Linked DNA regions of Lytechinus pictus. The protein of the gene in region 1 purifies or fractionates together with the protein of each later gene. This does not show direct contact. Links are inferred from orthologs where the notes say so. Each region holds a gene or a part of one and is shown in the gene's direction. Other genes may lie near its edges. The genes, in order: enhancer of filamentation 1-like and crk-like protein.

Region 1 (7,292 bases):
GAAGGGAAATGTCATCAATTTAATTATAATTGAATAATTGAAATTTAATAAATCTTTGATAAATAATGCTCCTATTTTGAAAAGAAAGAAACGTAGCCAAGTATCAACATGTTTGGTCAATAATTGGTAAATGAGCAAAAATTATCATTCATCATTTCCATATAACATCTCTCCACACTGGGTATAAATTCTTAAATCAAATTCAAATGAATATAATATATATTAGACACAAAAAGGATAAAAACAAATTAATCTGATGATTTAAAATATCTTGGGAATTTTTCAATTCAAGTTTAGGCCTAATGAAAAAATTAGATAATCGTAAAACACTTGTTTGTTTTATATGTGTCCTTGGAGTATATGTAACTGGAAGTTAGTCAGGGGACCCTACTCGTTGAATATGTTTCAGATGTTTATCTTGACTAAAGTATTCAATTAGAATTCAGGTATTACACCAGAAATTCATTATAATTACCACCTCCTGTTGCTTCAATATTTATATTATGTTAAGTTGAAGAAGGGGGAAATGTGTTTAAATGTATGTAACATGCATAAGACTGTTATTCTTTTTCTAATTCCCATAGGACCATCTACGTTAATTATATATAGGTAACCATATTATGACATACATTTTGGTGCTGAATAATTATCCTTCCCGAGTCCAGGACGGATGGTGTCTGTGGACCATGACTTTGTTTTGCTCTTTCCCCATTGGGTAGGCAGCCGCTGATCACCATGTTAATAACTGAAGCATGAGAGGTTCAGAGAGGCCGACTCTGACTCTCAATCTGGGCCGCGGAAATCACATAGTGCTCCTCAATCCACTCTACCTGTGCATGAACTCTCCTGGATCTCGAAAACAACATCACGCTCATCAGTTTGGAATACTAGTATATGGAGGTGAACTTGCGTGAACCTCAAATATCAACATTGTTCTCATCAATTTATTTGGAATATGTGTATATGAATAGAGTTGGACCTCAAAATACATTAGTGTACATCACTGTACTCATATTTGAGTGATATCATGGCAGGAGAGAAAAGAGAACAGAAAAACTGAGAAAAGAGAGGGGAGGTGGTATATATGAAAAGGGGTTTAGATACCGAAAATGCAGGATTGGTTTTTGGAGAGGCTGTTGAAAATCTAGTCCACTCTGTGCATATACACAGCAAAACACTCCAAATATTTGGTTTTCACACACATCTAGTTGATATTACAACACCTTTAGTTGTTACTCTTTCACTCTTTGGTGTTATCTTCCATCTCCAGGATGTTATTTCGACACCTCAAGGTGTGGCCCTCTAGTCTAGTGACACCATATGGTATCAATTTGAATGCCCTAGTTTTTACAGTGCATTTGCTCAACCAGTCAGATAATTAAAAAAAATATAATACTGGAGAGGTAATTTAAGAAAGGAGAAGGAGAAAAGGGAATTAAAAAAAAAAGCTTGGAGGAAAGTATACAGAAAAGAGGATAAAGATAATTATAAAGAAAGAAAGAATATGAAAATAGACAGTAAAGAAAGGGAGAAAAATCACTTGAAATTCTTTATATCCTCTTAGCTCTCAATGTTGTAATTGGCATTAATTATGACATTATAAAACATGAAGAAAAAATGATTGTATTCTATCTGGACCCCACTATTGGTCATCGATTCAGATCGATCACGACTTTGAGGTGATCACTCAATGCATTCGATCTCAAAGCTGCAAGTCTGTGTAATTAACATGATCTCTTGAAGAAAATAACAAGACAGCAACACTTGTGTGTACATATCATTTGCATGTATAACATTCCTAAGATGACAGACATAGGTTGAGATTCCTTCCGTCAACAATTGTTAGTGTGTAAATGATGTTAACACAGATCCTAGAAAACACAGGAGCTACAGGCACTTAACCCATTACCTACTGAAACCATGCGTGTCTGGTGCTGAAGCTACATGTATGAGAATGGCAGAATTCATTTTTTAACAGGGTAAATCATCAAACTGTATAATTTTGTTTGAAGGAAGGAACATGTAAATTTACTATTGTTAAATCTACAGTTGATATTCACCATTCATAGTTAAATTGAAATATTGTATAATTCAAACACTAAAAGAACAAAAGAAATGGTGAGTGAGTGACATCATTGACTCTCTCATTTGCCTTCACCGAGCTGGGCATATAAGTGTTTTGTGAAAAATAAGCAAAATATTAAAATCTCATAATTTTCTTATTTCATATCTGATTTTGATGAAATTTCAGCATTCTGCTTGTTTGATTTTTTTTAATTGATTCAAATCAACTTTTTTCCTGGGTGGACTTGACCTTTATAAGCAAAGACTGTATTTCAGAGAACTGAAATAATTTAGGAATATCAATCTCTTTCATTGGCATATGGTGTCTTGTGAGATAAATGGATGTTTCATTTCATCTTGAGGGTTCAGTCACGTGTGTCTAATGTTGAGACCAGAATTGACCCAATTATGAAAATGATGCATGGGTCAAAGGGCGATCCCCGTCCCCTACATATGACATATTTGTACCGCATAGAGAGAGTTCTTCATTAATCGCTGTAAGATTACATGAATGGAATTTGGACTGTGGTTACGTGCATGAGCAAGAATTACAAGTTGCAATACTAATTGTTAGTTGAAATTTGAAAGCTGATGGCACTTTATTGTGCGGTTATTGATTACAAGATATGTCTTCTATTGGAAGGAAGACTGATATATCAGACATTGTGAGGGGGTGGGTGGGGGGGATTGAAACCAGGAAAAACAGACAGACACACAAATATATACAAATACCATCGCAGACTTGAAGATATAGATTGAATACTTTCAGGCTCAATATTTGAAAGTGAAGGCAAATAGACATGTGGTGGAAGGAAGGAAATTATGAAGGCGATGAAGTGCCAAAGAAGAAAATACCTGGAAATTGTTGTACCTGAAAAACGTGAGGCAGGCAATCACTTCTAGTTAGGTCCAGCAATAAAAATGCACTTTGTGAGAGGGAGCGTGGGATTTACACATTCACATCTCAAATCCCCACAGCCAATAAAACTGCTCTCCTTAAAAATGGAGTTTGGCCAGTCGTGCAGAGAATGTAAGCATGGATGGATGGTGCGTTCAGGCTCGAGAAAAGAAACGATCCTGAAATGTCTGAGATCAGGGGCCCGTTTCATAAAGAGTTACATGTACTGTAACTTTGCCATATTGTAACCACTTTGGAAGCCTTGATTGTGATTGGCTGTTGAGCCCTGTTACTGGTAAATACTATAATGGCAAAATTGCATTAGTCGTTATGAAATGGGGCCCAATCGGGAGGTGTTAAATAAAGTGTGTTAACAAAACATCTTGTACTAGAGATTTGAGTACACTTATTTTATCAATTTATCCATCATCTCCTCTCTGTCTTTCTAATTAAAATTCTATATTTTCTATCTGTATATCTAGCTACCTATATGTATGTATGTATCTATCTATCTATCTATCTGTCTGTCTGTCTATCAATCAATTGCATGCAAAGCTTGCGCTTAATCTACGCTCAAGTGATCAAGCGCAACTTTTTCTTGCAACAGGATTGAACGTAACTTGCGTTCAATTGCAGATTTGCATTTAATTGGAGGACTTATGCTCAATTTTGGGAGTTATGCTCGATTTGCATTCAATTGCAAGTTTCTTGCAATGCCCCATGAGTATCATTCTAGCTTTGGGGGAAATGGATGGAAATGCTCACAAAGTTACATCTCAAGTAGATGTGAACTTGTTTTTGCTTGTGTTTATTGACCTTGTTGCAGGGTGTAGGGAAGGCTTCCACTTGATCACCCAGGCATACATCTAATACACAGCCGTGATGTACCTCGTGATTTACATTGTATTGATGAAAATAGGGACAGAATATATACAAGTCTGCCTATGGAGTTAATGTAGAATTATTAGAGGCATGTGAGGTGAAACCTAAAGTCCTCCCATTTTTGTTTTGTATACATGTATCCAAAATGATTGTTTTGTAAAACTTGTCAATTTCAATCATAGCATCAGTTTGTTAAGTTTGTTGGGATTAAATACAGATGCAGATCTCTTGCTAAGTATGAAATGTTGTAAAAAAACCACCTACATCAAGACTGAAATTTTGTATCCAATTGTTCCTGAAATATGTGTTGATATTTACACCTTTTTTTTTGCTCTTCATTTTCTTTTTCCATATGCAGAATGTTTCAAGCTCGTCAGGTGGATACATGTCTTTGCAAGCAAACACAGGTCTTTCATCCACAGAGGACTATGACATCCCACCTGCCCGTAAACAAGCTCCCAATGCCAGCTCCCTGGCATCGCCCCAGCAGAAACAAGGGTTGCATGTATCACCCACGCACCATGGACGGACGACGCCACCAGGACATGAACTCTACGACACACCTCCAAGCGTGCAGAGAATCTCCCCAAATGAAACCTACGATGTGCCACCAAGGGCTTTTGGAAGCGGTGAATCGTTGAACTCAAAGAGCGGACAGAGCTCTCCAAAGCAGGAGAATATCGGTGAGATTTATGACACTCCCCCTTGCAAGCGAGATGTGCCTGGTCAGAACACTTCAACTCAGGATGTGTACGATATCCCACCATCTTCCCAAAAGATGAAGGATGAAAAGTTTCCATCAATGAGCACTCTTGACTCTGTTGATACCTATGACATACCGCCATCGCAACAAGGTGATAATGACGTATATGATGTGATTCCTCCGCTTAAAGGTGGCCCTTCCCCTGTAGAACTATACGATACCCTACCACAAAGAACTCCTACACCACAGCGGGTGTATGAAACACAACTGCAAAAGGACACTAGTGATTTGTATGATGTGCCTCCAAATAAGCAGGTTCAACCTGATGAATTATATGATACACCTGCAAGACATGGACATGAACTCTATGATCAACCTCCTGTTGCACGTGGTCTAAGACCACAACCAGGTAGCACACAGAGGCGCATCTCTGATCACGTTTATGACATTCCTCCAACAGTAACACAGGACAGGCCAGTAGTAGGGCCTGTCACGCTTTCACAGCACCATCGCTCTGCAGACGACATTACAGATGGAGTCGCTAAACTGTCTCTCCCGCAATTATCAAAATCAGCGGACTGCATAGATGAAACTCTAGGGAGGAGGTTAAATCTTGACCGTGATGCCGCCATGGACCTTCTTATTAAGCGGCAACAAGCTCTTGACTCTGCAGTAGCATACATGCTCAGTTATGTCAGTAGTACCTGGAGGCATCAGAACTATCTTGAACCTCATATTCATGAAATCAGAGCAGCATGCAATCAGCTCAAATTAATATTTAAAGAGTTCATGGAATTCTGTGATGGTGTCCTGGTGAATGCTCTTTATGTTTCTGATCAGAACCTCCATGAAAAACTTAGCAAGCAGTATAAGCCTATTCAGGATGAGCACCAAGTCTTGACTAAAGCGTCAGCAATGCTGGATGAACTCAATTGGGATGTGAACACACTTATGTACAAACCTGGTTCAAGTCCAAGTAATGAACTGGACACTTTTGCCGTCACAGCCAGGGGGCTTCCAGATGATGTTAAGAGGTTTGTGGTATTTGTCCAGGGTAACTCATCACTGCTCTTCAAAAGAGCAGGAATCATCCAGAACAGACCCTTGCCAACACCGCCTCCAAACTCTGCAGGAATGTCCAGCAACTGGATGGCTGCAGAAAAGGAGACCCTTGTGACTACAGCACCCATCCAAGCCACCAGGGAAACTATCCGCAACAGGCCTCTACCGCTAGTGCCGAGTGCCACTGTTGCTCCTCAACAGCAGATCCATGCCCAAACTAATGGAAACCACATCATGCCTGAAAATGGTAAGATGCCAGATTATGGCTATGTCCAGAAACCCCAGTCGATCAACAACAGGCAGATAATTATCACAACAGATCAACCTCCAGTGTCACCACCGCTCTCTCCAGGAGATCAGCAGCTCCTGACCTTCTACTACACCGAGGTGGAGACTCTCTTCACTGCCTTGCATAATGCCATTGATCTTTTCTTCTCCTGCATCGATGGCAATCAGCCGCCAAAGGTGTTTGTTGCTCACAGCAAGCACATCATCCTCTTGGGTCATAAGCTGGTGTTCGTTGGCGACACACTCCACCACAACTTGCACAACCTTGAGGTGAAGAATCGCATCATCCACCACAGTGACTCCCTCTGTGACTGCCTCAATGTCAGTGTCAATGCCACCAAGAATGCAGCTCTCCAGTTCCCTGCAGTACAACCTCTGCAGGAAATGGTTGACAGGATCACGGACGTTGCATCCGCCAGCAGAGACCTCAAGGAAATCATTTTGTTCAACACTCCTGCATGATGACAGTAGGATTCTCAAAGATAAATGGTGAAATTCTCTTTTAGCTACAGATGCAGTTCTGTCTCAACAAAGTGTGTGGATAACAATGATAGAACAAAAAGGTCTGTGTGAAATGTGTGAAATAAGCATACTAATGCTTTCATCTTTCACTCATCAGGTTTGTAGAAAAAACAAATCTTTTCAATGGCTGTATGATAAAAAATCAATTGCATTATACAGATGCATATACATGAAGGTTTATTTGCTGCAGCGACACAACACGACATTTGTAAGGTTTGTCTTGTTTATGAATGTTTGTGTATGATTAAATCAGTTCGTCTACAGTAATACATGAACTAAATTAGCAGTCGGTATAATCAGTCATTGTATAATACAGGGCCTGCATCCAATATCTTTCAATGGTGAAAGTTGGAATTTCAGTGGAAGTTGAAAAGACAAAATGATATCAATGTTCTTCATTGGAAGACATTTTTCATCAGTTCCTCCTAAGCCCATGGTTATAGTTGCATTCATAACAGATGTAAGTTAGGTCGGCTCTGATTACAACATTTTGTAATCATTTTCACGTGTCTGTGAAAGCCAAACTTAAAAGACAAACTCACAAAACCAACATTAATTTTTGTGTAAAATGGTAGGTTAACAGTAGATCAATATATCATGTAGATATGCTTGATGCTAATGAACAAGCAGGTGTTTGATTTGAAGTCCAAAAGGTATCACTATGATGAAAGACTACTGTAATTTGTGATATTCTCTTTTTAATGCATGTTTTATGTGACAAACTGAATTACAAGCTTGGTAATGTCTGTCGATTCTCTACCCATAGCACAAATTGATATTCAATCACATATGGTAATTATAGTAATTTTGAATTTGTTGTCATCAAGTTCATGTTAATACTTTACATAATGTAGTAGTTTTTCAATACATGAG
Region 2 (7,391 bases), on another chromosome or scaffold:
AACGCAAAAATGTTATCGTCAAATTTTACAAAATAAAATCAACAAAATTACAGTATTTTGTTCTTGATAATACGGTGAACACTGTACGCTCAAAGATACGGTACACTACTCACTTTTAAACTGCCCCCATAAGGTCATCAATACACCACACTGTAAAAGCTGTGGCGTTAAAACCAGTTGGTGTTAATAGAGGACCACACCCTGGGGTGTTAAAATGACACCTTATAGATTGAACATAACACCATAGAGTGTTAATATAACAACCAAAGGTGTCGTATAACACCTATAGGTGTGTTAAACTATAACACTGTCAATTTACCACCGGTGTAAAATAACTGATGTGGTCCTCTATGTACACCTGCATGTTAACACCACAGTTTTTGCTGTGCAGATTCGGAGATGTTCCTCCACCAACCCTGACCAAGGGCAGGCCATTTTCTTCGACAGACGTATACGCCGTGACAGAAGCCAGCTTTGTGCACGGCACGAAACAGCGCGCAACATTTTTATTCAATGATGAATAATTTCAGATTTCTTTGGCGCGAAAATAGCGGTCACGTAACTCGTTTTATTCAATGTTTAATAACTTTTAGATTTTATCAATATATCGTTCGATATTTTTATTCAACATGTTCAACGCAAAGTTATAAAGCAACTACAGCTTTTTATACAACTTTCGCGATTTTTTAAAATACAATTCTAATTCAACTCATGCAATTTTTATAGATATACCGCGTTTCGTGTGTTTATGGGTGCATAATTATGTTTAAAGGTCCATCCCAGAAAAAACTTTGATTTTAATAAATTGAGAAAAATAAAACAAGCATTATGCTGAAAATTTCATCAAAATCGGATATAAAATAAGAAAGTTATGACATTTAAAACTTCGTTTATTTTTCACAAAACAGTGATATGCACAACTTAATGACATGCAAATGAGACAGTCGATGATATCCCTCACTCATTTTTTCTTTTGTTTTTCATTGTTTGAATTATATAATATTTCATTTTTTACAGATTTGACAATAAGTACCAACTTGATTGAACCATATAGTATCAAACAATGCTAATTCCACACGTTCTGGGAGGAATTAATCTTCTTTTCACAGGACAACAGGGAGAAAATTTGAATATTTCACATTTCATATAATAAAATACAAAAGAATTCGTGAGTAAGTGATGTCATCAGTCCCCTCATTTGCATATCGACAAGATGTGAATATAACACTGTTTCGCGAAATTAAGCGAAACTTTAAAATGTCATAATTTCCTTATTTTACAACCGATTTTGATGAAACTTTCAGTGTTATGTTTGTTGGATTTTTCTCTTTTTATTTAAATCAACTTTTTTGTTGGGGTGGACTTGTCCTTTAAGAATAAGTAACCCCTTATTGAAAATGGAACTTTTTTCAAAACTGTCTTAAGCAATGTAATTTGGCAATACCTATGGGCAGAAAAGATCTATGCAAAAATCCATTTGTATATTTATGGAAGAGTGAGCACGCATCGAGGGGGAATGGCATTTTCAATGACACAGACTCTTTTGATGGGTTATTAAGTGAATAATGGGGGCAAATTCTGTTTCAAATGTGACTTAATCACTGTTGTTTTTATCATCCATCATTTTTATCACCACACACTTCCCGAACTTTTTACAGGCATGGTTGAGTGAGCACACTTGAAAACTTGGGAATGAATGCTCTTTATAATGCATAAATGCATGCTTTTCCTAACAATTTCTCAGGATCAGTTGAATTTATGGACTAATGGTGGATCCAGATTTCTTAAATGGGGAGGGGACCGAGAAATAGGGGGGGGGGGGCACTAACATTTTACAATTTTAATTTGAAAGTTATATAGAGGATACTACCGTAAACCCCTATGATGATACGGCACAAAAAATGATGTTCCCTCAACCATGAACATACGTTATCAAAATTGTGTGTGGATTGGCTATAATTATGATGGATAGTAAAACAGCATCAGCACCATAAAATTCACCAAAAAACGAATTCCGCCCAACTTTGTATTTACACGATCTGAAAAAAGGATTCTTGTAACTTTCGAAAATTGTCATTTTTAGTTCAATCTTTGATTACTCATGCATGACTCAACCGATCAATCTGATTTTATTAATAAAACCAATTATCTATCTATCTATATCTATCTATCTCATTTTCCCACAGGAATTTCTGAATGATGGTGATAATATTACCTACGAAATATTTTATCTCAAAATTATTTCAAACGTTACAGCAATTTTATTTAGGGGACTTACTTTTTTGTTTGTGTATATACACAGACAAATCTACGCAATTATCATCTATATAGAGTGTTTTAGCGATACATTAAGGACGTTCCACAGTTGAAAATGAAACCCATGTCATTTTCATGAAATTTTGCACACTTGAGTTATTTTAGCACCTAAATATTCAAAAAATGCAAAAAATAACATGAGTTCATGTACTTGTTTTTTTTTGCTATCGAGCTTTGAACTTCACCCAAGCATTTGTAAGGTCTCGAGAAATACACAATAATAATAATTTGGGTTTCTAAACCCCATGACATCACAACGTTGAGTGTAAACCTCTATTAATCAGTCAAAATCTATCTAAATGTCACCAAATTTTACATTATAGTTCAGAATTATTTACTTAAGATGAAAAATCCACTCATATTGCTATTCATGGTTGCTCTTTAAAGAGAAGTAACACCTTTAATTGAAAAAAAGAAACATACATACAAATTAGAAATTTATATAACAAATTTACAGAGTATACAATAAATGCTGCATTTTATTTAAAACCCATGTCCTTTTTACAAAATTTTGCATGGTTTTTTGGCAAAGGTATACAAAAGAGGTGCCGGAACATTAAAAATTTGGGGTTCATGTGCCTGTTTTCAAAATACATGTATCAACACTTTTGTTTCGCAAAATAACGTGAGTTTAAAAACACACGCGCCAAAAGGCTTGTATCTTCATAAGGGAAAATTCTACACCACTATTCCATTTGATGAAACTCGAGGTAATATTCGTCATACTTTGCAGCACTGCAGAGGAAAGTCTTCTGAAGACTAGAGGCGTTTAAAAAAATTGGTCCATATACTATTTACAGCTTAGAGCTTCGTAAAATAACATATCAAGATTTGCTGTTAGAGTGCAGATGCTTGGATAGATGATAATAATCATATTGGATGGCTTTAGTACTTGGAATACCAGAAATATTCTGCGATTCGTGGAATATTTGCCGAAACTCTTGGAATATACTCTTTCGGAGCCATCCAATATAACATAAGTGTTTTATAGCTTTCCAATTTTCTCTGCACCAGTATCTTTAGTCTCTTCCCCCTTCTCTCTCTCTTAGGTGATCCCTCCACTGTTTTGGAGATTCTAAGATACGAATAGAACAAATCCCAGTCCGGTAAATTACAGATTCAGCATCAAGTTGGAGCGGTAGTCATGAATTTTATGTAGAAAAAAAGAGGGATTTAAGGAGCAGACTATAATTAACTTCTGAAGGGAGACCAGGTTGATGGGTTAATAGGGTAGCACAGGAAAATTGGTGTGGATCCTCAGCAGTATACAAGTCTAGGTAATGTGGATGGTGCAGTGAGACACTCCTCGACTCTGTGTATGAAGTCTTGGCGTAGGTGATCAAGAGAGGAGCACGATCCGACAAAGTGTTCTACTGTCTCATCATATGAGGCACAAAGGGGGCAAGTACGGGTGGAGGACTTTCCTAATGTGTGGAGGCGATACTGAGTAAGATACGTGGAAGAAAGTAATTGGGCTCTGACAATGAGTGCATAACGGATGACAGGGGAATGTGTGGTCTTCGGATAAAGGAGATTGTTGGAGGATGGGATGTGATCAATCCAGAACTTGAGAGTTGACTTCGCACGGATGCCCTGTGCAACGAGATCATTGACGGCAATGTAGATCTTGTTTAACCAGTTTCTTAAAGGTGGAGTAAGGAAGTGGTTTCGAGATATTGCTGTGAAGATCAGGAAGGTCGTATTTATTATTATTATTTTTTTTTACAATCGGTCCTTGGTTATATTTTTAGGTTTTTCCCAAAAACATATCCCACGAAGTGATGTGTATAACGCCCTCTATTTTACCCATGAAACCCGTCACGTCATAGACGGCCGTGCTATTTTGGCTAAGTGGCCTGTATTGAAGTTTGACAGAAATAACACACACAGTTTCTATTGGACTTCTCGAACTTCCTGGAACTAATGGCTAAATAGCGTTTGTGTACATGTACGTGTGTGTGAATGGACTGTCAGGGACTTCTGCGAGTCAAGATTTTCATCGTCGGTTTTTCATCACGATTTCGGCATCGATGAAGACTCTTCTCGAATTTGACAGGAAGGGGTTTTATTGATCAACGGGATAATTTGATTCTTTGGAGGTGTATTTTGGTCGAACTTTTCAGGAAACCATCTCAATCGGACGATAAGTGAAGAGGGTTCGTCAATTATGGCGTCCCAAGACGATCTCAAAACCCCGTATGATGATAACAATAAACATTTGTAAGTTGATAATTTGATGATACGAGTGAAAATCGTTTGTATGCGATGACACAATCGAATTTGATTATTTGATCTGTCATGTCATTAAAGTCATAAGAGCATTTCGTTTATCGGAAAGATGACTCGTTTGAGTAGTGTTGAGCAGGAAATTCGCTCACACCCAAAATAGCAAATCTTGTGTGTAGTCCCACACTATCAAAATTGTGTCAGTCCTCAGGCTTAGCTATTTACAGTAGGCCTAGAGTTAACTTGTTTTTTGTCAAATTGACATGGTCTTCGATTATTAAGGATTTATCTGGAAGCCAGGGGTATGCCAGTATGTAATCTTTGCTGTTAAAGTGTTGCTTTGATTTGCTTAGTTGTTACTGTTACTGTTAATAGGCTGCATGACGCACATTCCGAGTGTAGAAAAAGTGTGTGACTGCGTCTGCGAGTAGGCAGGACAACAAAGTTTAGAAAGCTCTCTTTCTTGTGATGGGTCAAAATGCGCACTAAAGCTGCGCTAACGAAAGCGGGAAATTTAACTACGATCAACATATATTTTCGACACTTAACAGTGCACCGCTGATCGTGTGTGTTCGGTAATCAAGTTTTCAGACATAAATCATGTTGCTGTTTAAATTTGAAAATCGACATTAAACACACCCTTATCAGGATTAATTTCCCAGAAAGTAGGATGGGGGGTCGGGTGTCCGGACACTTTATAATATATTTTTGAAGCCTTTTTTGTCTTTGGATTACACTAAAAATACGAAATCAATAGTTGTACAAATCATCTTCTATTTTGTTCTCTATAATATTTCCTGACATTTTGTACTAAAAATTGATAAAACTTCCCTTGTAAATTTTTCCAAATGACTTTCTAAAATTGATCGTCCGGACACACAACAACTGGGTATACTGTGCACTGGAAGCGGCTGCCAGGGCTACACATGTAAAAGATCATCAATTTTTTAAAGTAAATTCAGCCGTATGTATGGCAAGTTCCCCCAAGTCTGCGCAGTCCCCCTTGTCTGCGCACACGCGTATCTGCGCGATTCTAGTAAAAGAAGATACGCAATGAGCACGAACTTACACATGCAATACATAGACAGGTATTTGTAAAAAAATCCGACTCAAAATGGTGGAAAAATAATAAATTTAGGGCATTTCATGTGACGGCCTCAAAATGCAGCCTTTCTCATCAAAATCCCCGAATCGTGTGCAAAGTGAATGAGTGTGCAGACATGGGGTACCATTTGTTTTTTCAATCTGAAAATGACTGCCCGAGGTTTTTCCAAGAAAATCCTATATTTTCTTTCATTTTTTAATGAGAAATTTTGTACACTTACTCTTAATAATATAAGGAACATTATTAACTGAAAAATTTTGTGAAATAAGAAGAAATTCATGTTAAATCTTAACTCAAATTGTTAGGTGCGCAGACTTGGGGCCCACCATCATACACTTAAAGAGACATGTAGATCTAGAGGCCTACACAAAATAAGAATACCTCTGTTTTCAATTTTACAAGTAGAGTAAAACTGGGTTGGTACTCGGCCAAGAGTCGGTGTGTGGCTGTTCAGCAATACACCACTGAAATCACCAACTCACTCTAGACATGTACACCACACATTTACTCACTCACTCCCACACTACAAAATCATCCGGCGACATGGACAAAATTTTGAATAAAAAGTGAAATTTTCGCATAAAATATCACACTTGGTAGGGGAGATCGGGGTTAGTTGTCCCACACTTTTGACAAAATGGCTGTTAGTTGGAACATTTTTGACAAAATGGCTGTAAAATCCAAATAGATTTTATTTGAGAAACAACATATCAGCTTGAAGCATATATCTAAGGGCTTCAAATGTACGCCATAAAATGTTCAACTCTATGTTTACTGAAAAAGTCCACCTTGAACAAGACTATCACAAGCGTTCCAACTTTGGCGTAAATATTCATATCTGAATGACACGCGCCTCAAAACCCAAGATAACAACAACAACAACAACTTACCCCATATACGGGGTAAGTTGGAACATGGTATGGTGTAAGTTGGAACACTGCATGGTCAATTAAGAATTATACTAAAACTACTTACAAATGTAATATTACATGGTTTTAGCCTATTTGCGTTATTTTTTTCAAGTTCAAAATATTAAAAGTGGCTTTGTTGAACTTTATGTTTTCTAGTATACATAGCCACTCATGCAAGCCTACTGTGTAGTAGAATTCCGCTTATTTGTGTGTGTTTGATTTTACATGCAAATGATGCAATTAAGTGTACTATCAGCAATTTCATGTACTTCTGCATCAAATTTACATGACAACAATTAATTGTTTATATTTTTTAATTAATTAATTATGCAAATAAGCAAATTAAATTTGCCCTAAATTTTTTTTTTAATGTTTTTGCCTTTAACTCTATTTATTAAGCTAGTAGAATGCTAATTTTTGGTGAGAGTATCAATATTTTTTCCGCAAAAAATATAATTTCTTATGTATTTTTTGTTTTTAAAATTTGTATTTCTTTGTTTTTTTTAACCTTTGTTTTTTATTGTTTTTGCCGATGAACTTTGTCAGGGACTCTTGCGATCATAGCATAAAATAAATCCATTTGAACCAACAAAAGTAAAAATAGTCATACATTATGATTTTTGGTTGAAAAACACAATCACGTTTTTGAGCAATTTTTGGTCTGACATGCATGTACAAAATGTTGCGTGATTTTGAAACTGCGCACCCAGGTATCGCAAATTTGGTCTTAAAAGATGCGCAAGACTTGAAAGTAAAAAGTCAGAGAGCGGTGCGTTCAAAAAAATTTGCGCGATGGCGTAGTGACGAAATTTGTCCGGGGGGGGCTCAAATTG

The links.
Region 2: the proteins of enhancer of filamentation 1-like (region 1) and crk-like protein purify together in Homo sapiens (affinity purification with western blotting; 4 studies listed by BioGRID). This does not show direct contact. The link is inferred for Lytechinus pictus from reciprocal best matches to the Homo sapiens genes NEDD9 and CRKL.

The regions. Positions count from the first base shown.
Region 1 is NC_087246.1:57,860,607-57,867,898, forward strand, and holds the start of enhancer of filamentation 1-like, read left to right. Parts: upstream 1-4,206; 5' UTR 4,207-4,229; coding exon 4,230-6,359; 3' UTR 6,360-7,292. UniProt on the Homo sapiens protein: Scaffolding protein which plays a central coordinating role for tyrosine-kinase-based signaling related to cell adhesion. As a focal adhesion protein, plays a role in embryonic fibroblast migration.
Region 2 is NC_087250.1:23,205,074-23,212,464, reverse strand, and holds the start of crk-like protein, read left to right. Parts: upstream 1-4,136; 5' UTR 4,137-4,483; coding exon 4,484-4,536; intron 4,537-7,391. UniProt on the Homo sapiens protein: May mediate the transduction of intracellular signals.